Linked DNA regions of Sus scrofa. The protein of the gene in region 1 binds, or shares a complex with, the protein of each later gene. Links are inferred from orthologs where the notes say so. Each region holds a gene or a part of one and is shown on either strand. Other genes may lie near its edges. The genes, in order: SCML2 and histone H2A.J.

The links.
Region 2: the proteins of SCML2 (region 1) and histone H2A.J are in contact, whole or in part, in a crystal structure (PDB 4EDU), measured with the Homo sapiens proteins. The link is inferred for Sus scrofa from reciprocal best matches to the Homo sapiens genes SCML2 and H2AJ. Residues at the interface, in NP_006080.1 of Homo sapiens: Asp182, Asn185, Tyr187, Leu188, Cys190, Phe206, Trp209, Phe213, Pro239, Pro240, Gly241; in NP_808760.1 of Homo sapiens: Leu35, Arg36, Lys37, Gly38.

What each region holds. Positions count from the first base shown.
Region 1 is NC_010461.5:14,815,213-14,831,437, reverse strand, and holds the start of SCML2 (sex comb on midleg-like protein 2), read left to right. Parts: upstream 1-8,421; 5' UTR 8,422-8,617; intron 8,618-8,853; exon of another isoform or gene 8,854-8,986; intron 8,987-16,225. UniProt on the Homo sapiens protein: Putative Polycomb group (PcG) protein. PcG proteins act by forming multiprotein complexes, which are required to maintain the transcriptionally repressive state of homeotic genes throughout development.
Region 2 is NC_010447.5:57,770,198-57,784,838, reverse strand, and holds histone H2A.J, read left to right. Parts: upstream 1-7,165; 5' UTR 7,166-7,273; coding exon 7,274-7,663; 3' UTR 7,664-7,831; downstream 7,832-14,641. UniProt on the Homo sapiens protein: Core component of nucleosome. Nucleosomes wrap and compact DNA into chromatin, limiting DNA accessibility to the cellular machineries which require DNA as a template.

The DNA.
Region 1 (16,225 bases):
CAGACTTAGAGGGGCTTACGGCTGGCTGATGGGTTTGTTTTCCACTCACTTTAGAGTTCCGTGCACCTTAAATCAGTCACTGTCCCAGAAAGGCGCAGAGAGAGCCAAAATTAACCCAGATCCCCTGTCTCCCCGTGCTTTCTCTACCACTCTCATGATAGATCCTATTCAGAGACCGTGTACCTTGCAAATCGAGGTACTGCTATAAAGCCTGTCTAGAATGTTTGAATTGTGGTTATGTCTTTCTGAATTCGAACCTTTGAATGCCTCAGTGCCCGCAGTATTGCTTTATATTCTTTCCATTGATTTGCTCATTAACTCAACATTGCTGTTGTTATTGTTCTTCATTTTTAAAAAATCCTTCCTAAATCTTGATGAGAGATTGTGTGATCCCAAAGCATTCTTAACTTACTCTGTTATTTCAAAGAGATAAATTTAAATATTTTAAAGGGTAAGCTTTTGTTTTTGAGTTTTTCTTTTCTTTTTTTTTCTTTTTGTCTTTTTAGGGCCGCACATCAGATCTGAGCCATGTCTTCGACCTACACCACAGACCACAGCAGCACCGGATCCTTAACCCACTGAGCGAGGCCAGGGATCGAAACTGCGTCCTTATGGATGCTAGTCAGATTCGTTTCTGCTGAGCCAAGATGGGAACTCCCTGGTTTTGATTTTTTTCTGATGTGTGTTTTGTGTTTTGGAAAACCAGGATTTTTCAACTAACAAATTGCAAGATTAAAATACAAAACAAAACAAGAGCAATGGAGGAGCAACCTATAGATTAAAGGGACTCCAGTAATTCCAGCTGTGGTGCAACGGGATAGGAACAGGCGGCATCTCTGGAGCTCTGGGATGCAGGTTCAAACCCCAGCCTGGCACAGTGGATTAAGGATCCGGTGTTGACACAGCTGCAGCATAGGTCCACCTGCAGCTCGGATCTGATCCCTGGCCCAGGAACTCCATACGCTGGGGGACAACCAATAAAGGAAAAAACAAAACAAAACAACAAAAAAAGACTCCCGTCATACCATCCAAACCTGTGGACCTTATTTGCATCCCCCTTTTTATTTTCTAAAGCTGTGAAAAAAAAGTATGATCTTTTATGGGGAAATTGGAAATTTGAACAGTAAGTGTATATTTGATGATATTAAGAAATTATTTCAAATTACCTAGGTCCTTGTGTTATTGTGGTAGACAGGATAATGTCTTTCCCCAAAGGTGTTCACATTCTAATTCCCCAAACCTGTGAATATGTGTTTTGTTTTGGTTTTTTTTAGCAGGTTTAGATCAGTGTTTCTCCATCTTTTTTTCTTTTTCTTTTTCTATTCAGGTATTATTGATATATAACATTATATTAGTTTCGGGTGTACAACACAATGATTCAATGTTTGTTTATATTGCAAGACGATTACCACAATAAGTCTAGTTAACTACACATCACCATACCTAATAGCTATACATTTTTTTCTTGTGATGAGGACTTTCAAGATCTCCTCTCTAAGCAACTTTCAAATATACAATATGGTATTGTTAACTATAGTCACCACGCTGTATATTACACCACAGGACTTATTATTAATTTTATAATTGGAAATTTGTACCTTTAGATCACCTTCACCCATTTCTCCCACCCCCAGCACCTCCCGCCTCTGGCAACCACCAATGTGTTCACTATATGAATTTGGTTTTTCTGATGTGTGTTTTTCAGCAAAGCTGTGTTGATTCCATATTTACACTTTCTCAATTCTTCACTTAAAAACATGCTTGTTCCAGAGTTCCCTGGTGGCTCAGCAGATTGAAAATCTGGTGGTGTCACTGCAGTGGCTCCAGTCACTGCTATGGCTGGGGTTTGATCCCAGCCCTGGGAACTTCCATATGCTGTGGGTGCAGCCAAAAAAAAAAAAAAAAAATATGTTTGCTCCTCTAGTTACCTCTTGTGAGCATAATCTCACGTGATTTGGAAGGTTTTTCTTACTTTGCCTAGATTTTAGGGTAATATTCTTAAGTATCTGCATTGGACAATTCTTGATGAACTAACAGTGGAGTTTCCTAATATGTAGCCTGTGTCAGAATCCCCTAGAGGACTTGTTAAAACTCAGATTGCTGGACCGCACCTCAGTGTTTGTGGTTCAGTGGGTTTGGGATGAGAACTGAGACTTTGGATTTCTGACAAGTTCCCTGGTAAGGCAAATGCTGCTGGTCTGGGGACCACACTTTGAGAACTGCTGACTTAAGGGATCTCAGCATTGCACATCAGCAGCTGCTGACATCATAAAATGAAAGACAACCAGGTACTGTGTGCCTCTTGATGGAAGAACGTACAACCTACTACACAGGAAGAAGGCTTGCAGGAAAAAAAAGAACTTGAATCTTACCAAGCCCTAAATTACCAATTTATAGGAAGGGGGACAAAGTAACATATTAAACCATGAGGATGCAATTAGCAAAATCCTGACTGTGGGAAATGAGGATTCTTCAACTAACAGAGCGCAAGGAAAAAAGAGAGAGAGAGAGAGCAATAGAGGAGAAACCTATAGATTAAAAGAGGCTCCAAAGCCAAAGTTTTATCGCCTAATCTTGTGGACCTTATCTGTATCTTTTTTTTATGCTGTAAAAAAATATTTTATAGACAATTGGAAATTTGAACAGAGAGTGGATATTAAGAAACAATTTCTAATTACTTAGGGCATGGTGTTATTGAAAGAGACAGGATAATGTCTTTCCCCAAAGATGTCCACATCCTAATTCCTGGAACCTGTGAATGTGTGGCAAAAGGGACTTTGCAGATGTGATTAAGCTAATGATCATATATGGGGAAATTATATTGGATTATTTGGCATGCTCAATGTAATCACAGGGTCCTTACGAGGGAAAGAGGCAGGGCAGGAGAGTCGGAGTCAGAGATGTGACACTGGAAACAAAGGTCAGAGAGAGAGAGAGAGAGAGATTTGAAGATGTTATACTGCTGGCTTTGAAGGTGGAAGAAACAGCTATAAACCAAAGAATGCAGGTGGTGTCTGGAGGCTGGAAAAGGCAAGGAAATTGATTATCCTCTAAATTCTCCAAAAAGAACACAGCCCTGCCTACTCATTTTGAACTTCAGACCTCCAGAACTGTAAGATAATATACTTCTGTTGTTTTAAGGGGCTAAATTTGCGGTAATTTTTTTTTTTGGCCTTTTTTAGGGCCATAATCATGGCATATGGAGGTTCCCAGGCTAGGGATCGAATCAAAGCTGTAGCCTCTGGCCTACACCACAGCCACAGCAATGCCAGATCTGAGCCGCGTCTGCGACCTACACTGCAGCTCACAGCAATGCTGGAGCCTTAATCCACTGAGCGAGGCCAGGGATCAACCTGCGTCCTCATGGATACTAGTCAGATTCATTTCCACTGAGCCACAACAGGGACTCCTGTGGTAATTTATTATGGCAGCAATGGAACACTGATACAGTTATGTTCTAAAAAGAGTCATCTTTAAGAGATACATAATAAAATGTTTATAAGATAAATAATATGATGTCTATCTAGGCTTTGTTTCAAAATAATAGAGGATGGGGGAGATTGGAGAGGGGTGTGAATGAGGCATGATTGGCCATAATCTTTGGGGCTGAGCGATGGGTGCATAGGGCCGATTACACTGTTCTACTTTTGTATATTTAAAAAATTAAACATGTACACATACGAGAAAAAAAATTAATTCTTTTTTTTTTTTTTTTTTTTTTTTTTGTCTTTTGTCTTTTTGTCTTTTGCTGTTGTTGTTGATATTTCTTGGGCCGCTCCCGCGGCATATGGAGGTTCCCAGGCTAGGGGCTGAATCGGAGCTGTAGCCACCGGCCTACGCCAGAGGCACAGCAACGCAGGATCCGAGCCTCGTCCGCAACCTACACCACAGCTCACAGCAATGCCGGATCCTTAACCCACTGAGCAAGGGCAGGGACCGAACCCACAACCTCATGGTTCCTAGTCGGATTCGTTAACCACTGCACCACGACGGGAACTCCAAAAAATTAATTCTAAGTGGTATGACCTAAAAGACTTCCAGAGACCTAGTTTGGTGAGATCCAAGCTGGACTTACCTAGGGATGGTAACATAGAGTAAAAGTCTTATCAGGATGGGAAGTGAGAGGGGCCATTCATCAAGCTGGGGCTGGACAGGAGGCTGGCCCAGGAAAGACAGAGGCTGAAAGGGAAATTAGAGGTGGGAGCCCCAGGAAAGTGGAAGAGTTAAATTCCCAGACGGCCATATGCATAAAAGAACAGAAATGGCAATGAACTGAACCAGTCAAGGAACAAAGGACATTCCATGCTTCACAGGGGGAAAAAATGATATGTGCTGTCTCTTAGGCTTCCAGTCACCTTGGCCTTTGCAGGTAGGCAGATGACCCCTCTGTCCTCCACCATCCCACTTCTCTTGAACCCAGACTCTCCCAATTCTATTCTTCCTTTTGTCAGACACCATTGCCTGCTTTTCCATTATTGCCTCTGTTAGTTTTCCTTTGTATCTTTCCAAGCAAATTCTCTTGGTTGTATGTTTTGTTTTTTGCTTGTTTGTTTTTGGCAAGGCAGAAGTAAATAGCAAACAAAACTCTACTGCCCAAAGCTATGGACACATGGAATGCAAAGGGCCTCTAAATGCTTGTCTTCGAACCTCTGTATTTAGACAGATGACCTCAAATGGAAGCAGGGTCAATAGTTCATCTACACAGTACCCCACACAGGTATAAAAGTGAAACCCGCCCTTGACTTTGAATAAAACAAAGCTTTCATTATCAAGATAACTACGTTTTATAGAGTTCCCTGGAGTTCAGTGGGTTAAGGATCCAGCGTTGTCACTGATGAGGCTTTGGTCACTGCTGTGGCATGGTTTGATTCCTGACCCAGGAACTTCCAGATGCCGCAGATATGGCAAAAAAAAAAAAAAAAAAAATACACAAATGTTTTTAAAAAGAGAATGAAGGTTTAATATAATTGGAGGCCAAACTACTGCCTTTATTAAAGAGAATTCATCATAAGAAGGAGGAAAAAATAATTGGAGGAGTTGCCACTGTGGTGTAGTGTGTTAATGATCCAGCTTGTCTCTCTGGAGGTGCAGGATCGATTCCTGTGTGGCTTGATGCAGTGGATTAAGGATTCAGCGTTGCCACAGCTGTGGTGTAGATTGCAGCTCTGGCTCAGACTGGATCCCTAGCCTGGGGACTTCCATATGCTGTGGGGGGGATGAGGCCAAAAAAGAAAAAAGAAAGAGAAAACAATTGGAAAACAAATTACAGTAGCTTTATTCAAAAAGAACAGCTTGTGGGAAAGAAGGGGACAGCGCAGCTGTCTGCAATGCTTGCTAAAAATGCGGGTGATGCTTCAACAATAGGGATGAATCTTGGGACAAAATGTTTAGTGAAAAAAGCCAGGCATAAAAGGGGACATGCTGTATAAGCTCATTGATAAGATATCCAAGAACAGGCAAAACTGATCTACAAGGTAGAAGTCAGAATAATGGCTACTTGGAGGTGGGGAAGTGTGTATTCCTGACCGGGGAGAGTCATAAGATTTTCTGGGGTGTTGGAAATGTCTATCCATGGATGCCTGCATGAGCACATCAGCACATACACATGCAAAACGACTGAGCTGTACATTTATGATATGCGTGATTTACTGCATGTAAATAAAAGCCCAGTTGAGGGAGTTCCCATTGTGGCTCAGCGGTAATGAACCCAGCTAGTAACCACGAGGATGTGGCTTTGATCCCTGGCCTTGTTCAGTGGATTAAGGATCTGGTATTATCATGAGCTGTGGTGTAGGCCACAGATGTGGCTTGGATCTGGTGTTGCTGTGGCTCTGGCATAGGCTGGCAACTACAGCTCCAAATTGATCCCTAGCCTGGGAACCTGCAAATGCCGTGGGTGCGACCCTAAAAAAAAAGGCTAAATACATACGTACATAAATAAATAAAAATAAATAAAGCTCAATTGAAAAAAGAACATAAAGGGTGAGACTACACTTGTTCAGGTGGCCTTGTGAAGTGGTCGATCCAGCCAGCTCCCTTGTATGCTCTGGTCCTCAACCCCCTCCCAGTGACCATCGAAGTCTAACTGCTTTGACTATTGCCAGCCTCTGCCCAAGCTCTCCGGGGCTGCTACTGGACGACCAGGGGCCTCCTGCCAGCATGCTCCTGTCTTGACTGCTCTCACTGAGTTCAGGCTTCTATTAGGATCGGGGAGCAGAGCCCTTGGTGCTGTAGCAGCAGCTAGAGGGGTTCCAGGGATCTGCAACTCTCTTTCTAGAACTACCCTGCTATATAACCTTCAATAGCTCCCCATCATGCTCTGAATAAGGTTCCAGCACCTTAGCATGGCACTCAAGTCCTCTAAATTGACTCCTTGTTTTGTTCAGCCCAATGAACCTTTTGAACCTTCCACTATTCAAAGACCATGCAATGACTCTTCATTACTTTGCACATATGCTCTTGTTTGTTTGGCAAACTCTGCATTTTTTCCCCTCTCAGTTCAAATGTTACCTCTCTTACCCTCTTAAGAAATAGCCTTTGGGAAACTAGTAATTATGGAGTGTTTACTATCAGTTAACAGTTGGTATTTAGGGGCTTTTCACACATTGTCTTCTTTAACCTCCACTCTAAGAAAATACCTCTAAGTTGATTTTATCCATAGTATTATAGTGACTTGTTTACATATAACAGACTGTGAAATCCTTAGGTGCTATAGACACAGTGCCTCAGATCTATAAATTCTCAAAGGGTTACAGAAATATTTGAAACACTTAACCTCTTAATTGCTTGGCTTGAAATAAAGAGAAAAAGACCCTTTCAATAATGGTCCAAGCAGAAGGAATAGAAGATACAGTTATATAAGATTTTTGAAGAGTACTGAACGAATTATTCACAGAGGTGTGGGTTGGTTTAGGGGAACTAATAAGGGATTCTGAGGTTGCCCAGGGATTAGTAAAAACTGGAAGCTGGAAGCTGTACCTGCTCCTCCTGGTTCCTGAAGACCCAGTGAGAACCAGTCTCGAAGGAGGAGCTCCTGCCAGAAGCTATCACAGTGAAGCCACTATCACTTCCAGACTGAGGAATTTCATGGGAATTATGGTAAAGAGTTTCCATGACATAATTTCGTATAATAATTTCATGGGAAATATTGTAAAATATTATGAAATAAAAATTTCATAATATAATTTCATGGGGAATATGGTAAAGAATTATAGGAAGTAAATGAGGCATCCCTGAGACAGGCAATTTACAATCAGAGCAGTATGTCTACAATTTAATAAAGGTTCCATATATGTAAAAGAGGCATAAATAACTTAAATCTTTCATAGAATGTAGAGATGAGTTTCAAATATTTCCATTGCATCAGGATTAGAAAGACAATAGCCAGTAATTCAACATTTGTGTTTCACCTCCCAGTCCTGCCATATCCCATACTAAGGGTTTGCTAATATTAAACCTGTTTCTTTTTGTTAAAGATAACTTTCTGGCTTTTAAAGACATTTTTGAAACGTCATCTTAGACCATTTCAATATTCCCTATGTGATATATATTACACAACTGATCCAAATCTCGCTTTAATATTTGCATATCAATGGCCTAGTTTTTCTATTTTTGCCTTCAAGTTTTCTTGAATTGTCAGTTAACAGTTATTTATTCATTTTTAAATGATGCAAGAACAATCAGAGCAATCTGATCTTGTGTGATTCACTAGTGCTTAAACAGAATAAAAAATACTTTAATTCGGCCCTTGTTTAACATTGCTAAAGTTGTGTTGTATGAAAACAATTTCATTTTGCTTTGCGGAAAATGGATATATTCCGCCGGTGCTTTTTCTTTTAAATTTTAGGCTCCAATTTCCGAATTATGGTTAAAAAAAATACTCATGCCCTATATACTAAGTTAAGCAGATCACGGGTGCAAAACCTCCATCCAACTTTTGAAAAGAGCTGTAGAGAGAGAAGGCCTGTCATTGGTTTACTTTTGGCTAACACAGCACATCGTATTATTTTTCAAACAAAAGCTTCATATCTGCCTATACCCAATCTGACAACAAGGAATGGGATGCTTTTCTCTAGTTTTCTGTTTGCTATGTTTTGTGCGGAGAGATTCATTTTGGAGCTATTTTTGCACCCGCCTCTTCCCCCTGGAGTGACCTCCACCTGCGCAACCTCTTCGTCCGGAGCGGGGGTGGGAGGAGACCCCAAAACGCAGACGACCGCGAGCACCCTCAAGCTTGTGAGCAAATTATTTTACTCTCCAGGTTTAGGCTAGTTCCCGTTAGCTCAAGCCTGGGTTTAGAGGAAGTACTAAATCCAGAATGTGGAGCTGTAGGAGAATGCGTGGCAAAACTCATGGGGAAAAAAAAAAGAAAAGAAAAAAAAGCTGTTTCAAGAACTGTGCTGCAACCCGCGAAGGAGTGGCTTTGCTCAAGCTGCTCTAACGAGCTGCTCTTTCCTTGCTCATCGAACTTGAGTTCCTAGGGAAGCGCCTGCCTTTTCGGTGCGCCAGGATGGGCGGTGGTCTAGAATCGAAGGCGATGGCCAAGGGAAGCGAGCTCCCCTCGGATGAAACTTGAAGCGGACCCTGGGGTTCCAGTTAAGGCCCACCAAGGTCTTAGGTGCATGGGCTGCGACTGGTTTTTTTTTTTTCTTTTTTGGCGGGAGGGCAGATGGGGCGGGGGGAGGATGAGGGAAAACTCCCTAGGGTTTTCCCGGGCTCGCGGAGTCTCATCGCCCACCACAGCTCGCGCGGGCTTCCGGCTGGGCTGCGGGCTCGGGCCCCGCACGCGGCTGCGGTCAAAGGGCGCGCTGGCTGCAACCGCAGGGCACGCGGGCAGCGGGGCGGGGGCGGGGCGGCGGTGGCGGTTGCGGGGCATGCGCGGCTCCGCGCGCGGCTTCTCAAACATGGCGGCGGCGGTGTGAAGATCGGTACCGGCTCGCGGGACCAGTGTAACAGAATTTCGCTCTTTTCGCTGAAGAGACTCGAGGTGCGTGGCGACTCCGGGCCCCGTGAAGACCAGAGCGGCGGGGCTGTGGCGTCCCGGCTCTGGCCGTTGTCCGCGGGCGGGCGGGAGTCCTCGGTGGCCAGTCCCGCGCGAGGAACGCCCCCTCACCGTCCCGCGGGGTCCGGCCCCAGCTCGGCCGCGCACTCTGGTCACCCACTCCCGGCGGCCTCACCCCCGAGGCCAGGGCTCCCTTGCCCCTCGGCGGCCTCACCCCCGAGGCCGGGGTTCCCCTGCCCCACGTAGTGCTCTTCGCGACGCCCCTCAGCCGCTCTCGCGACGCCCCTCACACTCGCCCCAGGCCCGGTCGCTGGGCACCGGCCCATCCCGCCGGCGACGTTCGGGCGCCGAGCCACTCTCCTCTAACCATCCCCTGGCGTGAAGCGCAGACAGTACCCTCCGGAGCATCCTCCGGCCGTGGGGACAGCGCGGGTGGGCGGCGGGGCTGAGTAGGGATGACTTTGCCTGGTTTGGGCTGAAATTCGCCCGGCAGCCTTCCGGGGACTTGTGAGGTAACTTTTGGAGTTTGGGAGGGAAACGTCAGTCTAGAAGGATGCGCTTCTGGCTGAGCTCGAGCTCGGCTCCGGGTGCCAGGTGTTTGTCGGACTCGCGCCCCGGGGCTCTAGGCGGTTGGGCAGGGGGCAGCGCCGGTGGCTCGCCCTCGGGGGGTGAAGCGGCGCGCGGGGGCGGGGGGCGGCGGCAGGTCCTGGGGATTGGGGCCGGAGAGCGGGGCTCCAGCTCTCCCCGGGAGCGGCGAGGCGGCCGGGGTGCTCTCCGGGCAGGACTGGGTCCCAAGACCTCTCCTCCCTTTATTTCGAGATAGCGTTCTCGCTTTTTCTACCTGGATAGTGGTTGTGCTACATCCTAGTGTGAATCGCCAGGGGGAGAACGAGTAAGCGAATTGAATAGATTTTGCGCGTTGAGATGATACGTAGCTTTGAGGGCTGAGCTGAAATTCGCGCCGCCCCACCCCCGCCCCCAGTGTTGGGGCAGCACAGGTAATTAGTTACAAGTTCCCGTTTAAGATTGTTGGTTTTTTTTTTTTTTAAAGGTTGTAATGCACATGTCATTGATTATAAAGTGTGATTACAGTTTGGAACTGGCTTCTACTTTGAAGAATTAGAAGATTAGCATTTATGACTTACCTGTAAGGGTGACTTTAGGACAGACTTCTCTAAAAGTGTTTGGATTTGTTAGTAGGGGGAAACTGAGGCAGCGAAAGTGAGTATTTACTTATGATCATATGATTTACGAAATTATTGGATATGGTTATCTTTTTGAAAATAACTGCAGATGCTGCTGCATTTTTAGTGCTCACAGAGCTATTCATATTTCTGTTTGGGGGTAAGAGTGTTATAAGATGTATTATATTTATGGAGTACAACTTCCTGTGACAAGCAGTTTAATTATAACAATAGTTCATAGACTGATACTTAGTTTTTTTTTTTCAATAATGGTACTTGAGAATGTTCTTCAATAATGACAGTTTTGCTGCTCTTGACATTCGTTTTTCTAATTATTCATTAAATAATGTATTTCCAGGGATGAATGTTCTTTCACCATGTTTGTGGGTTTGTATATTTAATATGAGCAATGTGAAAACAGCTTTTGGAAATGAGTGCAATGGGGATTTTGAAAAAGGAGATGAGCCCTCGATGCCTTGTGTTTGGCTCTTTCTTTATCCATATTCTTCAAAAGAGTCGGAAAGAATTTTTTCAAGAAATTAGTGAAACACCACTTAAAATGGCTTTGACATATCTGAGTAAACTTCATATATATGTTATGTAACCTTATAAGCTTCTAAGGGTGTATACCTGTTTCCCCGAGATAACCTGATTTCTTTTGAAATTGATAGTTTGGGGGGAAAAAGATTAATATAACTGAACTACATTATTTATGTGTGAGGATGCTTTAAAGTTAATGATGTCCTGTGTACAAAAAACCTTGGAGTCATTCTTAAAGAGGTGGTTTTTCTTCTGAGGCACTTGGTCGGTCCTTTGGATTTATGCTTCAGTCAACACATTTTTATTCAGTACCTGTGCTCATGGAAGTTCAGTTGAACCTACTGCTATCTGTGCTGGTTTCTGGGACTTTAAGACTTCCCATCAGTGGTTTATTCCTGAAAATTTCAAGGTTATAGCTAAGAAAATTTATATGAATGTAGAACAGGTAGTCCTTTTATTTCAGTGACAAATTCAGGGAGTCAATTTTGGTCATAATTCTCTAAACAAAGCTTGGATGTAACTGTGAATTACTTGTGACTTGTGTGATATTAACTTTGTGTGTTTTTTGTTATGATTATATAAAGCTATATGTTTTTATGAGAGATTATTTTTGGCTCAGATAACATGCTGGTTAGGCTTGAGGGGAAAAGGATAATTACTGGTATAAATTGAAATCAGTCTGTGCTCTGGAGAGTGGATGTTTTTTAATGCTAAGTAACTTCTGTGACTGAGTAGTTCATGTTATAACTAGCTATTAATTGATCATTTCAAGTGCTTTCTTTTTAAAAAATGTTTCAGAAATCTCTCTGAACTTAAAAATAACAAATAAGGCTTATAATGGTCAGCTATAAGCCAGATGTAACTCTCATTTTCTTGTGGGTTTGTTCCTTTTTAGCTGCTTGCCTGTTCCTCCCAGATGCTTCCTATCACCCCTCTTCCTGCCCCTGTTCCTTTTGCTGTTGGTGTCTGTTTCCGCATCAGTGAAATAGTCAGGGTAATCCTGCACTGCCTCACTGAGAAATAATTGATGATAGTAAAGTGTCTTGAAAAGGCTGAGTAATTGCCAGATTTTTTTGAATGAAAATGATGTAGTCCTTTGTTCCATTTAAGGAAGATCTTAATCTCAATTTTAGCTTAAGCTCTTGCAGGTTGGAAAGAGGAATGGAGGAGGATAACTTCACTTGAGTATTTGTTTGGGCTAATAGAAATGAGTGTTGGAATTTTAGTAACTGGATCACTGGAGGACGCAAAGGATCCTCTGCTATGGGAGTTATTAGTCACCTCTAGCTCTTTTTTGCCAGGTTAGTCTGCTGCTTTTTTTCCACCTTTATGCCCGCTCTACTCTCATTCCAATTGTGAATGGAAATCTGAGGTCATTTTCTTTATTAGCTTACCTCCCTGAGAGTCTCATTGTCTCCTCATAGTAATATTCCTGGTTTTTTAGAATATATGACATGAACAAAGCCAGCTCTGCCAGCCATCAGCATTAGAGCTGTGAGGCTATGGTATGAATATTGGTCTGGCATTGCTCAGGTGTTTTGTAGTTTGGAGTGAGCAAGTATCTTTAAGAATTTAAGGAATATTGTTAATTTGAAGTGATTTTGTTGATTTCAGGAACCAAAAGCATGGCAATTTTGAAAATGGCAAATGTTGGTCATTTTGAAAGAAAACCTCTTCCTTGATTTGGGATCTTAATCGTTATGATCTTTCTGTCTTGGGGAAATAAATGAGAGAAACCATTGCTGTTTATCTCAGCTTGAAATAGGTTGGTATAATTTAGTGGTGAGTTTTCCAGGCTCTAACTAGTTTGGGCTTTGGTTACTCTAAGCATAGAAATGCCTTTACTGTAGTGATACCATCTTATTTTTTAAGAGATAGCAGAGGTGGCCATTCTAAAAGTAGGATAATTTCAGAAAACTTCAGAAACAAACCATAAAAGATTTGAAATACGCATATGTTGTTTGGTGTTAATGAGTAAGGCATTTTTTGCATATTTTGTCTTTATATTGTCTAATGTAAGTAAACTGTGGCCACCTTAGAGATAATAATACTAGTGATTTTTATGCTGAGTGATTTCTACTAAGCGTATATCCCTAAACCTTTCTCTTACTATCACATTTGCGTCATGTGATGGAAAGGTTTTAACGTAAGAAATGAGAATATCTTATTGTGTGAACAGTGAAGGATTTGAGGCTCCTATAAGAGTTTATATGATGGTGCTTTTCAACTTAATTTCGTATTCATCTCACCTAGACTAGATGAATTCCATGTTTAACCTAAAAGTTAAAAAGAAAAAAAAAGAAGAATAAGCATTGTTTGAGTAAAGAGCTGGGAAACATTGGAAGGTACAGAGAGCATTTGACTACTTACTACTTGTGACCTGTGTTTATGGCTGTGGCTCTGCCCCTTCCTACGTTTATAGGAGCAAATTGTTGTAAGAGCGGAAAGAGTGCCCACCTTTTGTGGTTACATTGTAAACTTCAGAAGGGACAGATACATTGCAATTCTGGGGCATATCTTGAGGATGCTTTCTGTTCTCAGGGAAAAGTTGGTGGGACCCTTCTGTTTGCTTCTTGTCTTTAGAATACATATTTGATTTTTTCTTGGCTTCTGTTTCTCATAAGGATTAACTGGTGCTGAATTCCAGACAAACAGCTCTGTACCTGTAGCACAAATTTCTTTTAGTTTTAAATTAAGCAGTGAGTGAATCACATGTGTTTCTTCAGTTCTCTTGTCCTTGCCCCTCTGAATACAGTTGTAAACTTGTGCCCTTAGCTGTGAAACTGCCTTTTTTTTTTTCTTTTAGAAGATTTTCAGTATTATTTGGAGTATTAATTTAGTAGAGTTTGATAACTCTGTTATTAAAAGAATTTAAGTTAGAACTCAGTAGTGCTGAATACATTTACATATTGCTTGGTTTTAGATTAGGAAGTCTGATTTGAGATTTTTTTTGTGTCGAGATTTTTGAGAGGTTATAGAAATGTTTAAATGGGTCATTTACTGACACCTGCCTCATGTTTGAAGTATTGTCAGGGATGTTTAGTTTTCTGGTCACTTCAGATTGTAGTTTATTGCATGCTTTTCTGTAATCTGTTGTCTAGCAGGGATTGTTGTTGTCATCATTTCCATTATTTCTTGTAGGGCCAGTGTTAGAAACCATAAATCTAGACTGCTGTGATAATAGGAACAGGCTGTAACCTGACCCAGTTCTTTTGTCAAAATGTCGCACTGAGAGCTGCCTGTAGTAAATTGACATGCCCTGCTATTAACTTCAGTCCTCTGCAAATGTCAGTGGGCAGCAGGTCTTTGGGCAATTAGCCTGTGGCTGTGCTTTAAAAACCTTAGGAATTTACAACTATAAACTGAGATTTTGGTAACCCTTGACTTGTCTTTCATTTATCTGTTTTCTGATATGATGTACTTCTTAACCAAATGCATAGCATTCATATAAATTGTTTTAAGATTGTAAGAGATTAATTATTTTACCGTGAGATTATAATTTTTTTCCCCATCTTTTTAGAGCTACGCCTGCAGCATATGGAGGTTCCAGGCTAGGGGTCCAATTGGAGCTGTAGCTGCCGGCCTACACCACAGCCACAGCAACGCCAGATCTGAGCAGAGTCTGTGACCCACACCACAGCTCGTGGCAGTGCTGGATCCTTAACCTTCTGAGCAAGGCCAGGGATCGAACCTGCGTCCTCATGGATGCTAGTCAGGTTCATTTCCGCTGAGCCATGACAGGAACTCCAGTGACTATAATTTTTTATTTTTTTTATTTTATTTTTTTTGTCTTTTTGCTATTTCTTTGGGCCGCTCCCACGGCATATGGAGGTTCCCAGGCTAGGGGTTGAATCGGAGCCGTAGCCACTGGCCTACACCAGAGCCATAGCAACACGGGATCCGAGCCGCGTCTGCAACCTACACCACAGCTCACGGCACCGCCGGATCGTTAACCCACTGAGCAAGGGCAGGGACCGAACCTGCAACCTCATGGTTCCTAGTCGGATTCGTTAACCACTGCGCCACGACGGGAACTCCTAATTTTTTAGATAAATTAAAAATTTTTGAAAATCATTGTTTCCTTTTTTGGGTTTGCTCTGATGCAAAAAAAAATTTAACTTCTAATTTGTTGGAGATAGAGACTTTACTAAAGCATAATTAAAATTACCCCTCCAGAAGGCTTGATTTGATAAATCCTCACTACTAAAAAGTGTTCATTCTGGAGTTTCTGCTGTGGCACAGCAGAAGTGAATCCAACTAGTACCCATGAGGATGTGGGTTCAATCCCTGACCTCACTCAGTGGGTTAAGGATCCAGCATTGCTGCGAGCTGTGCTGTAGGTTGCAGACGAGGCCAGGATCCCACCTTGCTGTGGCTGTGGCATAGGCTGGGAGCTGTAGCTCCAATTTGACCCCTAGCCTGATAACTTCCATATGCTGCGGGACGCCCTAAAAGAGCAAAACAAAAAAAGTTCTTTTTTTTTTTTTTTTTTTTTTTTTTGGCTTCCCGACGCATGGGAGGTTCTGTGGCCAGGAATCAAACCCACGCCACAGCAGTGACACCACTGGATCCCTAACCCACTGAGTCACCAGGGAACTCTAAAATGTTCATTCTTTTTTTTTTTTTAAATTAGAGTATAGTTGATTTACAATGTTGTGCCAATTTCTGCTCTACAGCACAGTGACTGAGTCATACATATATATAACATCTTTTTTATGTAATTAAATTTAATTAATTAGTTTATTCCTGGAGCTCCTGGGCAAGGGATCAGACCTGAACAGCGGTTGTGACTTAGGCTGCCAGATCCTAATGCACTGTGTTGGGCCAGTTCCACTTGTGTTCCAGTACTCCAGAGCATTGATCCCGTTTGCCACATCGGGAATTCCTGCATTTTTAAAAAATATTATTTTCCATCATGGTCTATCCCAGGAGATTGGTTATAGTAATACAACCTTGTTGTTTACAAAATGTTTGTTCATTCTTAATATTGATTATTCACAATTCAACAATGAGTATTTATGCTGTGAGCCACATGGGAAATCCTATTATTCACAACTCAGATTTAATTTAATTTTTTTTTTTTTTTTGTCTTTTGAGGGCTGCACTCGAGGCATATGGAAGTTCCCAGGCTAGGGATCTAGTCGGAGCTGTAGCAGCTGGCCTATACCACAGCTCACAGCAGTGCCGGGTCCTTAATCCACTGGATGAGGCCAGGGATTGAACCTGCCTCCTCATGGATGCTAGTTGGGTTCGTTAACCGCTGAGCCATGACAGGAACTCCCCAAGATTTTATTTTATTTATATTATTTTTGTCTTTTTGTCTTTTTTTTTTAGGGCCTCATCTGCAGCATATGGAGGTTCCCAGGCTAGGGGTCTAATCAGAGCTGTAGCCACCGGCCTACGCCAGAGCCACAGTAACACGGGATCCAAGCCGCATCTGTGACCTACACCACAGCTCACATCAATGCCAGATCCTGAACCCACTGAGCGAGGCCAGGGA
Region 2 (14,641 bases), on another chromosome or scaffold:
AGATATGTGAACATATTATCAAATTGATAATTTGCACATTAATAAGTGCTATATGTATACAAACCTCAAGGTCAGAGGTTCTAGGGGTACAGATACCAATCAGATTCTTGCTTTTCAGGAATTCACAGACTAGTCAGGGAAAACACATGAAATAAAACGCTGTAGTTAGTGAAACCGACTTCCAGCAGTTTGGCAAATTACGCAATCTGAATGAACCTTCTAGCACAAGCATTGCATTATAATGGTCACAAGAAAATAAGGAGAATCTTGACATAAAAATAAAAGATAAAAGGACAGTGAAATAACAACTGAAGGTGAGAGCTCCAAGGTTGCAACAGAGATTAAGTCTTAGGTCTCCTGTAAGGTAGTGAAATAGCATAGGAGACTTTTCAGCAAGCTGAGACACCCACAGGGGGGGAAAGGGGTCATGGGTTGACAGCAGTATCCAGCCCAAAGCTGAAGCAAATGCTAATTTTCTTAACTAAGGCTCAGTTAGTTCCTCAGGACTCCCACAGATGATCTTCAACCAAATATCAGTTCAAAATATCTATTTGCCAAATATATGGAGAAACAAGTCTTCACGTGTGTCCGCAGGAAAACAAAACACTTGATGGAGACCACCATGAACGTATTGTCTTTCAGTTCATTCTGACTGCCAAATTATATTCCACCATAATTTATTCATCTAGTTTCTTGTCCATGTGTATTTGGTTTCTTTGTTTTTGCTACTGTGAGCAGTGCTGCCAAGAACTTTAGTGAAGGCGTGCCCTGTACATAAGTGCTATCTATCATTTCCCTCAGATAAATATCTGGGAGTCGAACTGCTGGTTCAGCATCAATGTGAATCTGTTTTCAAGTTCACAGGATAATGACCTTTTTTTCAAAAACAGCCGAATCACTTTATAATTCTAGCATTATTAAGAGATTTGGTACAACACTTGGTATTGCCACTTGAAAATTTTTACCAATCTAGTGGGTGAAAATTTCATTGTGGTCTTGATTTGCAACTCCCTGATGATTCATCAAACTGAACATCTCTTCCTATGCTTACTGGCTATGATTTTCTGCTGGCTTTTGCTCATCTTTCTTCTTTGGACTGGGTTTCAATTTTTATCCAACTGTGTACCTGGGCAACAGAACAAATTATTAAATACCCAACACTGGAAAGTTTCTCAACTACATTTCATGTGGAAACTACTCTGGTATTTGTTCATGCTGTGTGTCCCCTAAGCTTGGTGTGGCATTCCCTTTCTCCAGGGGGCCTTCAGCTCAGAACAAATGTCATCTGACCTTTAAAAATACCCCTAAGACATATAATTTGTTCTGTACACCAATAAACACCATTTCACTCATGCTACTCTATTAGAGCAAACCACATGTGTACAACTACACAGATATCATCCCCCCCCTTACTTGGAAAAGAGAAGTGTCTTGATGTCTTATTTATCTCTGAATCTTCAAAGATATGGCAAAAGAAGTTTAATGTTTCTTTTGTTCAAATTCAGAAGAGATGACATTTCAACAGCATTCATTCACAGTGCAAGAAAAGCCTTATAAAAGAGCTTTAAGTTGCTTATTTAACAAACTTTGTAGCAAAGGCATTTTATTAGTCAACATCTGAAAATCTCAGTCAGTTCTAATTTTAGATTATCTTGGTGTCCTCAAATCACATGACCTAGTTTTAGTTTGGAAAATGATTACTTCAGGACTAGATATGACCATGGGACTCATAGAGACAAAAACAAATTTCCCATGTTCACATAACTTGGTTCTATTTTATAAAGTACATAAAACATGAACAACAAAAAAGCTATGCTACATGGGAAAATAAAATTCTACTTGACAGGTTAAAAAAAAAAATGAGGCCACCATCAAAAATATAACAATTTTATAAAAGTAGCAATTCCAAGTAACTTAAATACTTAAAGAATAGATATTTTGAATTATCATATGAATACTTACTTCCATGCTCCACTGCACTCCTACCTGCATCTTCAGTAATCTGATTCATGCTAATTTGGGGACTTAATAAGTACATTATCTGGAGTTCCCGTCGTGGCGCAGTGGTTAGCAAATCTGACTAGGAACCATGGGGTTACGTGTTCGATCCCTGGCCTTGCTCAGTGGGTTAAGGATCCCTCGTTGCCGTGAGCTGTGGTGTAGGTTGCAGTCGCGGCTTGGATCCTGCGTTGCTGTGGCTCTGGTGTAGGCCAGCAGCTATGGCTCCAATTGGACCCCTGGCCTGGGAATCTCCATATGCCACGGGAGCGGCCCTAGAAAAGGCAAAAAGACAAAAAAAAAAGACCCAAAAAAAAAAAAAGTACATTATCTATCTACTCAAATTCACTCATTCATTCACTTAACAAATACAAAAGCACAGAAGTGTACCAGACTATGCTACTTCTTACTTATTTTTATTTTTATTTTTTGCCTTTTCTAGGGCTGCACCCGTGGCATATGGAGGTTCCTAGGCTAGGGGTCTAATCGGAGCTGTAGCTGCCGGCCTACACCAGAGCCATAGCCACTCGGGATCCAAGCAGTGTCTGCAACCTACACCACAGCTCATGGCAATACCAGATCCTTAACCCACTGAGCTAGGCCAGGGATCAAACCTGCAACCTCATGGTTCCTAGTGTGATTCGTCAACCACTAAGTCACAACAGGAACTCCTGCTACTTTTTTTTAAGTAACTCCACTTTTTGTTTTTTGTTTTTCTCACTTACATTAATGAAAGTTGAGCTTCTCAGATTATCTCACTACCCCAGAAATTTAATTAATAACAGCACCAGGGGTACACTTGAGTATGGAGGAGAAGAAAGCTCTTAGAAGTGAAACGTGAGCAAACAGAGATGGGGGCAGAGGCAGTGCACACAAGGATTAAGGTCAAAGGGTGTAGGGTCCAATAGGGCTGGGTTCAAATCTGGGCTCCAGTTCTCCCCAGTCACCCACCCCTAGATCCCTGTATCAGTTTCCTCATCTGTAAAATGGTAATTAATAATAAACTATAATAAATCTGCTGGAGAATAATGGAACCCAATGTGTTGCAAAGTGTCTGATACTCAATAAATGGTATGATGCGAGCCTCTGCTGAGGGAAATACAAGAAATGTTTCCTTGGCTAGCGTACATCTGAGATATATGTCGTTTAAAATGAGACACACGTACATCACTGTCAAAATTGGGAAACTACCCCAGAGCCACTTCAAACAACCACCTCCAAGAAACTAAGTGATTTCACCATGTCTAGACAAGTCAGAATTGGGGGAGAATAGCTAAGGTGAATGGGACCGCACTGCATTTTGGGGTCCTAGGCCCCTTCGTCATATAAACAGGTTAGGAGAGACTGGACCCTCGAAGTGACTTGGGTTCCCGCCTCCCTCCGCTGGCGGACCCTGCCGGCCCGCACGCAGATGAGGCCCCCAGTCTCCAGGCCCTGAGACGCCCCGGAATAGTGCAAACAAATGCGCCGCCCTTTGCTCAGTCTCCCGGGCAGGATCACTGGGGGGGCCTCCACGACTACACAACTCTCGTCACATTTTCACCGAACAGCTTGGGACCCAACTTGCCGCCCCTCTCCTTTCCACAGCCCCTCCAGCAATTCTGAAAAGAGCCTTGACTGGGAAGCCAAGGCTTAACTCATGGCTACGACCAGGTCACATGACTCTCTATCCAGAGCAACAACATCAGGGCCTGGATGTTGGGCAGGACGCTGCCCTGAGCCTCGGCCCCGCTGCCGGCTAACTTCTGGATTCCCATCGTCAGGGGTTCGAGCACCGCCGCCAGGTGCTCCGCGGTCGGGTTGCTCACCTGCTCGGCGCGGCTACCTTTGTGCAGCGGACCCACGGGTAGCGCAGGGGCCGCGGGCTCAGGCCCGGCCTTGGACTTCGCCCGCACTCGGCCGCCCTGCATCTGGCGTCTGAGCTCGGTTACCTCTAACTCAAAAAGTCAGCGAAAAAATAAAATAATTCAAACCCGGCCGGACCACGGCGCGCCAAACTAGGCCGGCATCTCACGCTTTCCTATTGGACATCTCAACATCTCTGGTCCCAGAGACGGGACGGGCCGCACAAGCGAGAGCCGCCCCCTCTGACGCCTTCTATCCAATCGGAGACGAAAAGTCCACTCGTCCTATTTACATACAAGCCACTCTATAATTGCTCAGGGCGGGAATCCTCCGCGGCTTAGAAGTGTCCACCGTGAAGACGTAGGTTTTGCCAGGTAGAAATGCTTCCTTCTCCCAGAGCTGTAAGTCAGCAGTCTGGTGTCTGAAACAGAGAAGAGCAAGGTCACTACTGCCCTGCGTCGCACTTCCTGGGCTATGTTCTAAGCGCAGGCCCTGGGCTCTCTGCTCGGAGCCCTACTAACACCTCCCCTCCTCCCCAAGCCCCAAGTCACCCGCCAGAGCAGCAGCTTCCACCCACAAGGCGCTTGAAGGACATGTGCGCGTTCATACACAATTTAAGCAATATCAACTAGTTTTTTGACCTTTGGGGGGCCCTAAAACGGGCCTTTTGGAGTGAGGAGATAAACTTCAAGCACCGTGCAGACGCCGAGGCCGACCAGTATGCGGCCCTGCCGTTTTAGCGCATACACCGCAACCGTTTGAGGGCTCAGTGTTAAGTCACCGCATTGCGGATCACGTTCTTCAGGGACGCTTCGAGCACTCCCCGGTTCTCTTTCCATATGAGCCCAGAGATGCCCTTGACACCACCAGGACGGGCCAGACAGCGGATAGCTGTCTTCGTAATTAATGCCTTGGATGTTATCCGTTAAGACCTTCCAGGTGGCGTATAGCGCCTCCCTTGGCTAGACCTGTACCACCTTTACTCTGGCCAGACGTCCTTCACAGCAGGATAGCCTAAATGCAAAAGCAGCAGCTAGCAGTTTAAAGTTGTAGACCAGAGCATGTGTAGCCTTATGGCGAACCTGTTTGAAAACCTCAAGAAAGTGGGAAGAGTTATGGGCCCTGGGAGATTTTTATTCCTTCTCTGCCAAATTTTCTGTTCGCTCTTTGGGGCAAGCTTTTTGTTATTTTTGTCAAGAAAATGAGGAGACTCAATAGAATATACCTTGCTTTTTCTCAGCGCTTGAATAACAGGCCAGATCCAATGCACGCTGGGTTTCCCTTCCCTCTTTCCACCACCCTGCCCGCCCCGGTGTCTCTGTCTCTGTCTCTGGTGGGTGGGCAGGAATTCTAATTCTATAGTTTTCCAAATGGAATGCCTTCTCTGATGACACCATTCCCAGATCAATGTGAAAATCAATAAGAACCACGAATGCTTTATTTCTTGTTAAATTTCAAATCTCTTGCTTTACACCTGTGGATGTTTTAAAGTCACTAGTTGGGGAGGAGGACATCTTTTAGTGGTTCTTTTTTTCTCTTTTGTGGCCCCATGGAGAAAGAATTAATATTCCTTCAAAATAGCTAACAGGTCTCATCCTATGTGCCTGCTCCCTCAGACTTTCCCCTTGCAACTTCTTCTAAGCAATTTGCAGATTTTACTACCTCTTCTGCCCCCTCCACCCCAAGTGAGTTTTTTGCTTTTCAACTGAATAACTGTTTCTATAATTAGTGGAAGTATTTTATAATGTTCTTATTAAAATTCAAGTTTCTCAAATCTCCCACTTAAAAATTCAAAAAATAATGGATACCATGATCGTGGATTTAAGTAATGCTTTATACCGCAGAACCCCAATCAGAAGTCTCTCAATACTTTTAAGACAATCCCTGAGCAAAAACGAAAACAATCTAGGAGACAGCAGTCTTCCGAAAGATTTTACTGAGATAAAAGGCATCAGTATTTGAAGGATGATTCATAACTATTTTCCAGGCACTTAATACCTCGAGCGACAAATACTTTAGTAAATTGTGCTCGCTGTCCCTACTCCTGACAAATAAGCCTTTCCAGCAGCAAAGCTTTAGGGTAAATACTTACATATAATTAAATGCTTATTATTTACCTATCCTTACCCATCTCCATAGCACAAAAGGTGCTGTTATTGTTGTTAAAGAAGGATTAACACGAGTTCCTGTGGTGGTGCAGTGGTTAACGAATCCGACTAGGAACCGTGAGGCTGAGGGTTCGATCCCTGGCCTTGCTCAGTGGGTTAAGGATCTGGCGTTGCCGTGAGCTGTGGTGAAGGTCACAGATGCGGCTCGGATCCCACGTTGCTGTGGCTGTGGTGTAGGCCAGTAGCTACAGCTCCGATTAGATCCCTAGCCTGGAACCTCCATATCCCGCGGGTGCAGCCGTAGAAAAGGCAAAAAGACACACGCACACACACACACGGGATTAACAGAACCCTCAGAACACTGGGTATCTGGGGGAAAAAAATCCTCAAAGGTTATATTGTACTACATGATTTTAATCTCTGATTTGAGGGAAGAAAAGTCTTGAAGTGTCAGGATTCTTGTAATGGTAAAATAGGTTGAGGTGCTGTTTTTTTGTTTTTAAGTATTTACTAAGACTAAGAAATCAAGGTTATGAGTTCCTGCTGTGGCAAAATGGGATTCCCGGTGTCCTGGGAGCATCGGGTAGTAGATTTGATCCCCAGCTCGCACAGCGGGTTAAGGATCCAGGTGGTGTTGCAGCTGCCGCTTAGGTGGCACGTGTAGCTGGGATCTGATCCCTGGCCAGGGAATTCCATATACCCATGGGGGGCCAAAAAAGAAATAGAAAGAAATAAATCAAGGTTAGCATATTTTTCAAGTTAAGAGATTTATCTTACTTACAAGAATAAAAAGAAAAATAGTGTTAATAATGACATTCGGTTAAAATTTTCGGGCATACCCTGCGACCTTAATTACTAGAATTTCTCCCTTGAGCATCTCGTACTTGTGGGTGGAGTAACTCTCCGTCTGCATGTTTCAAACTGTGCCTCCCTAATTCTTAAGACGTTCTTTTCCTGGGAGCCAGCCGGGACGCTGAAACCTCAGGATACAACAAATTCAGTGGAAACCCTATACGCTGAGCAGTCGGGTGCAGATTTTCAGGTGGGTGATTATGTAAATGAGGACTAGGGATTTGCTCATCTGATTGGAGAGAGCTGGAAAAGGCGGTCCTTCTGCCAGCAGAGCGCGCTAATTGGGAGCGGAGCCTGCCTGTCATTGGTCACCTAAACTGAGGATGTTGCGGCGCCCAATGGGAAGGCTCTGACTAGCGTCAGCAAAGTGTTGGTAGAGGCAGTTCCGGTGTGATACGTCGCATTTCCTTACTAGAAACCGGACCGCTGGATTTTTTTCTCCTCGCTGGAGTTTTTGGTGAGAGGTAAACATGTCCGGTCGCGGAAAGCAGGGAGGCAAAGTGCGAGCAAAGGCCAAGTCCCGCTCCTCCCGCGCGGGCCTGCAGTTCCCGGTGGGCAGAGTGCACAGACTGCTGCGCAAAGGTAACTACGCGGAGAGAGTGGGCGCCGGCGCGCCGGTGTACCTGGCGGCGGTGTTGGAGTACCTGACCGCGGAGATCCTGGAGTTGGCTGGCAATGCCGCGCGGGACAACAAGAAGACCAGGATAATCCCTCGCCACCTGCAACTCGCCATCCGCAACGACGAGGAGCTAAACAAGCTGCTGGGGAAAGTGACCATCGCTCAGGGCGGCGTCCTGCCCAACATCCAGGCCGTGCTGCTACCCAAGAAGACGGAGAGTCAGAAGACGAAGAGCAAGTGACCCTGACTCTGCTAGGGAAGCTGGCTTCCCCAGCCAAGCCTCTTCCCACAGCCGCCCCGCAGTGTTTTTGAATATGCTTAATGTTATGGAGGGCCGGCTTGGTCTAGTGGGGAGGTGGGCGGCAAAGGGCCCACCGGGGTCGGAGGCCAATAAAGTCAGTGAAAATCCTCTGGTCGATAGAGATATGTAGTCGCGGGCGCCTGCCGGATGACCCACGGGGCAACCGGGAGACCTTTGGAGGAGGTACTTGTGGGTCGGCTTGAGCCACTAACTGGGCTGCTTTGGTCCGTAGGTCACCTTCCAGGCGCTACGGGCGGATAAGGGCTATCAGAAGGGACCCACTGCCCAGGAGGTGGGCAGAGTTGGGAACTCTCCCAGCTGGCTTGAAGGCAAAGTAGGTGCGGCTGCGGCTGGGGAATTTTTAGGCCCCCTTGCCAAGGCTTTTGCTCTCCTGCCCTGTTTGGGCAGTTTAGGAACCAGTTCTGGAAAAGGAGCGGTGACAACGAGCGAACTGGCCTTGGGCAGGAAGTTGTCTCTCTGGTCATTATTTTAAAAAGGTAGAATAACTTTCTGTCTTCGAAGAGTGGTCCCAATGACACAGTGTCAACAGATTCTTCTTAGCCTGATGGTTGTGTTTTCGCCTTTCGAATAGCCGATATTTTGATGTACACGCTTATGCTCACATTTCTAGAAAATGAAGGAAACATCCAATAATATGTGTAATACAGAAGCATGAGTCATGAGGTTGGAAATGTGTTCCCCTGACACTCACATTGCATAACAGTGCAGCGCCTTTAGTCATGAGTTACATATGTTTATGAGCTTTTAAAATGATTTTCTCAAGTTTCCAGCTTCATAATGGTCTTCTCTCCATCATACTATATTTCTTTGGAAGTGTAATTGATTTGATTTTGCTTTGTAACGACAGATCGCTGGACATCCCTTATGATCTACCACTGGCCTGAAGTAATGACCCCATTCCAACCAATCCTGTAGGGATTGTGTTGCTTAATGACAGTCATGCTTTAGTAAATATGTGAGATGTGCGCAAAGGTAAGGACAAGTGATACAGATGCAGGGAGGGAAACACATTTCAGATCAGCCATCTACATTTAAAAGTTAAACACTAGCAATCCCATTCAGTTCTTGGTTGACCCTTCCTTTTCACTCTTTTCTACAAGATTCATCCTGCCCTCATGGTCCACAAAAAAGTTCCCCGTTCAGATTTCACATCTTTGGATTCATCTTTCCTGTGAGTCAGAGTTGAAGTCTTCCTGAAAAAACAAATGAAACAAAAGAGTGGGTATGTGTTCATCCTTGGCAGTGTTTGGCCAATTTTCCATATGAATTTTATTTTTTCCCCAGTATTTATTGAGCATCTCTATATGCCAAGCACAGTACTAGGTGATGAGTAATGTGGTCTAGCTGTGGCTGAGACCCAACTAGATTTCCATTCTTGAAGCTCACTTTTTTGTTTTTTTCTGGGTAACTGAAGACAGGACAATGAACAAGTAAGTTAATATCAGAAAGGATTCCCCTTCAGCTTCCATTAGCACTTGTGTCTCTGCTGCTTGTGGAGTAAATGCTGGGATCACTTCTCCCACGTGGTCATGACTGAGGTATATACAAAGGTCAGGCCACACATACCCCTGTTAGGAGGCAGATTATCACTCCCCAGTTCTTGAAGAGAATAGTCCCCCAAGGGGATATACCATGGGCAGTTTCCAAGGTATCCAGCTGTTTACTCTCCTCCTTACCTTCTGTCTAGAAGGCTTCCTCATATGTAAAGTAATATCTATAACATATCTAAAATCATATATATATATATAATCTATAATATTATATAATAATATTATTTAAAAATAATATCCATTTTGAGGACTGAGATTCTTTCATTACTACGGTCCAGATGTTGGGGGCTCAGTAAATTGAAAGTACTGTTTTCTACAGCAATATGGGCATACCCTTATAGGTAACTGTAGCTAATAGGATTTTTTGGGTTTTATTATCTATTTTTCTTTTTTTGGCTGCCCCATAGCATATGGAGGAGTTCCTAGGCCAGGGATCAATCCAAGCCACAGATGCAGCCTACTCTGGATCCTTAATCCACTGTGCATCCAGGGCAGGGGACTGAACCTGAGTCCCAGCGCTCCAGAAAAACCACCAATCCCACTGTGTCACAGTGGGAAGTCCTTTGTTTTTATTTTTAATGCTCAATTTTTTGGGATAGTTCTCAGTGTTACCATCTTGGGAGGCCTGATAGGCAGTGGAATTTTTCTTTTCTTTTCTTTCTTTCTTTCTTTTTTTTTTTTTTTTTTTGGTCTTTTTGCCATTTCTAGGACCGCTCCCGCAGCATGTGGAGGTTCCCAGGCTAGGGGTCGAATCAGAGCTGTGGCCACTGGCCTACACCAGAGCCACAGCAACATGGGATCCGAGCTGCTTCTGCAACCCACACCACAGCTCGCGGCAACGCCAGTCTTTAACCCACTGAGCAAAGTCAGGGATCGAACCTGCAGCCTCATGGTTCCTAGTCGGATTCGTTAACCACTGAGCCACTACGGGAACTCTGGCAGTGGAATTTTTTAAAAGTATATTTCAGGTACCAGTTTTGACATTTAAGTCTTAATTTCCTAAAATATTTGAGGCCTCTCAAAGATTATTACCAAAGCAGTAAAGAAATGAAGACAAAGGCCATCAAGATGTTTATAAGAAAAAAACACTTTTTTCTTTTCCCTGTAAACATTCAAAGGAGTCTAACTCTGTTACCTGAAGATAAAAACAAGCAAGACACAAAGTACAGTGGCTGCCTCCATCCTCATCTACCTAGACCAACACTGTCCCAGAGGTTGCTTAGGCTTCCCTTGCTGCAATGAGTCCCTCACCCTTTCTCTTTTTAAAGGGTTTTTAAACCTGAATATATTGGCAGTTAAAAATGCATACCCCTTGACAAAGCAATTCAGCCTATTGATCTTTGATGCACCAACAGTTCTTGCCAGTATGTGATTGTTAACGTAAAAGGCTTGTTTTTCACACACAAGATGGTATGGAAGAAGACTGAGGACAAAAATCGGTGGGACCTGAATTCAGGTCTTAGATTTCTAATCCATAGTTGGGTGTATAGACAAGTGCTTTCCTGTAGAGATAAGCCATTCAGTGTGGCAGACTGTGACTGGGCCAGGATTTGTTCTTTGTTTTTCCTGCAGGGCCAGTCTTGTCTTTGTGGCCCTGAGAACTGGTCTGTTTAGTTTTGTCTGCCTGGAATCAAAAGTTTCAGTCTGGCCCCATAGTTGGTGATGACTGGCTTACTATATGCAAACTCTTTCTGATGCTTGAAAGGTAGGTCCTGCTGTTTAAGAACTCATACTCTCTGGAATGAGACCCAGGTTCAAATCTGCTCACCTCCTTAGTAGTTGGGTGATTTTGGAAATGTTACTCAGTCTCTTTAACTCCCAGTTCCATCTGTTAACTGGGCAAAATACCTCAGTGGGTTTGGGACAGAGTCAATGAGATAATGTGAATGAAGGCACTGAGTTTCCCCTATAAAAATGTGCTCAATGAATAATAACTCTTAATGTGTGAAATTGGATTTAGAGCAAGTATCAATAATCATGGGACCTATTGAATAGGTAAACATCTGGTATTCTAGCAATTCTGTGACTTTTCTGATCACACACCATAAAACCAAGCTTAGTGGCTGTTTAACTAATTATAGGACATCCACAACTCACTCTGTAATAGAAAAGAGTCATGAATAGTGAAAGCTTATGAACCTGAGTTTGCATTTTTCTCCCTGCAGACAACCTAGTTTGGAACTAATAGCTTGTTAAGTGCACCTATGCAGATTGAAAATGGAACCTGTTCGTTCAGCAATTTATTGAGCATATATTTACATGTTACGCCTATGATTGATAACTAGTTATCAAGAGAAGTGATTATAATAAGAAAGATGATTATAATCTAGCAGGATCCGTATCAAGAAGGGAAAGATGTTTAGGATGTCAGAGTCACAGGGAAGAGGCACCTGTGTCCCTTGGCCTGGTGGGGAGAGTGGCATCTGAGATGATGGGTCTAGTGCCAGAGCTAGCCTTACATGACCATGTCCTAGGCATAGAAATGCCTGCACAGAAGCACAAGGGTCAAAAGGCAGTACCTGTGGCAGGATCCAGGGGAGGGAATCCAGGGGAAAATCTCTGGCCTGGAGATCAGAATTTGGGAGTCATGACAAAAATGGTCTGGGTGGGTAAAATCATCCAGAGGGAATATTGATCTAGAGAGATATGTGTGAGTCCACGCAGCTGACAGGGCGTGTGGGGACCTATGAGCACTCTTCTACTGTAGAGGAAGAGGGGTCACAAAGGAAATGAGAGGATGTGGCCTGAAGGACACTCGGAGAGAGTGACTTTTCACATTTGGATCACTGCCCCTCTGACACTTCCTGATTTGCATTTACTTCGATATATAACTAGAATATATATATATATATATATATATATATATATATGTATATATTTTTCTTTTTAGTGCTGCACCTGTGGCATATGGAAGTTCCCAGGCTGGGTTATGCCACAGCAACGAGGGATCCAAATCATGTCTATGACCTACCCCACAGTTCACAGCAACGCTGGATCCTTAACCCTCTTAAGCGGGGCCAGGGATTGAACCTGCATCCTCATGGATACTAGTCGGGTTCATAACCTGCTGAGCCACAGTGGGAACTCCTTAGAAAATGTTCTTTAAAAGTTATTCCATTTCCCCACACAGGAACCACTGGCAAGCAGTCTCCCTCTACCAGTGCCCTGGAATGGAGATGCCTTTTCACATTGCACAAATAGAAATTCGAGGTATACACAGTGACAGCAAAAAACACTTAAAAAAAAAAAAAAAGCCAAGAAGAATATTGGTAAAGTAACATTTAAGAATATATCTTTTGGAGTTCCTGCTGTGGTGCAGTGGGTTAAGAATCTGACTGCTGTGGCTCAGGCTGCTGTGGAGGCTCGGGTTTGATCTCCGGCCCAGTGCAGTGGGTTAAAGTATCCAACAGCCTGGTTGTGGATCAGATTCAGTCCTTGTCCTGGGAACTTCCATATACCCTGGGTGTGGCCCTAAAAAAAAAAAAAAAAAGAAAAAAATGTAGTTATCATTCCATCTATTTGAATAAATCTTTTTACGTATTTTAATTTTAATCAGCTTTTTCATTTTAAGTTTTAATTTTAAAGAAGTTATAGAAATAGGGGTAACTTACTAATTCATAAAGCCAATATCATTATTTTAGAATGATTTAGCACAAGATATTTGACCCTGACAAGTTAATTAGCTAATGTTTCAATGTTTAGAGAGAAATGGAGGTCAAAAGTAACAGAAAGAAAGAAAGAAAGAAAGGAAGCCACCGGGCTTCGGGCAGACATGAAATTATTACTGTAAAGCTTTATTTTGTTTTCTCTACAAGGAGAGGAAAGAAAGTTTCGGTGTTGAAAAACACATTTTAACCTATATCTACACCCAAAAAGAATGACAGCACATTAGGATAGCAACTGGGGTCTTTGATAATTTTATCAAGCCATGCAATTAAAAAGCCAGCACTACTTAACTCCAAATTATGGAAACAAAGGAAGGATAAGGCCTATGTTAAGCAAAATTGTCTTTCTTTTAGACAGACTAGACAAGCAAACTGCTCATGAAGATTTGTTTACTTTCTGTTTTAAAGTACTTCTCAAATGAGCTATCTTGTTCATGTTAAAAGCCCAAATGGCCACAGTAGCTCCAAAATATCACTAATGAAATTGAGTCTATTCGTGAGGCTGGTGTACAAACTACTGTTACAGTGAAAAGACATGAAAGAAGCACGTGCGTGGCCTGGAAGAGGTGAGGTTCTAGATTGTGAGGACTAGGAGAAATACAATGGTTTGTAAAGATGTGTAATTTTTGATCCTCAGGACTTGGCCAATAGCCAGTCATCACCAATTATGGGTCCAGGCGGACAAAACCAAATGGACCAATTCTCAGACACAAGGACAAGAGTGAAGAAATCTTCATTAGATTTAGAAACCATGCCCCAAAGCAAGTTGGTCCTAAGGTCACCGGTCTGAAGAGACCTATGACCTCCTCAGACTTAGCTCCCCAAAACAGACTTATCCAGCCTCTGTCTATCCTCTCCCTGTGGACTTGGCCTCTTATACATGACTCTGAGTATCAAGCAAGCTAACAAGCAGTGCAAGCTGGGAATGGAAGAACAAAAACAATTTTACTGAAGAATACTAAAGTAAAAAATAAAAATCTAAGAGATCTTATCTCCAGGGAAACAAACACAACATTGAAGTGCTACAACAAAATGTAGGAACTCAATTCCATGTGAACTTCACTCCCTAGCCCTGAGCAGGTGGCATCTCATCCAGAGGGAATCACAAGGGCTCCCAGATGTTCGCATTTGAGAGTCCTAGTCCACTTAATGAGCACTTTAGCTGAATCTGCATTTTCGTCCTGGCTTTCTAGCCAAAGACCATTAGGAACATACCTGTTATTAAGTAAGCTGGGTTTTATTGCTCTTTGTAGCAAGGAACACACATAATGGGAAGGTATGAGGTATCTCACTCAAAGTATTAGGATTTATTATAGATTTGAAGCTTGGCCTAGGATTGCGTGCTGTTGGGAATAGAGTTAAGTTTTTGACTTGGTAGCTTAATACGTCTAATGGGGTACATGGAAGGAAGCGAGGCTAAAGCTGAAACAGGTGAAGATGCTAATGCATATTGACCAGCACAGGGGACTCTTTGGTCATTTTTGTGGTTTGGACAATGCTCATGTTTTTGCCTCCTGATGTATTTTTGTTTTGATTTTTCATGGTCACAGAATGACCTCATGGGTATGGAATAGTTTATAGTCCATAGAGCCCCAAGGTGCAGCTGTATCAGGCAAACTCCCAGCAAAACCAAGGCCTGACTGAGGGTCGAGGCCAGTTTCAAGTTGTCATGGGCTGCTTTC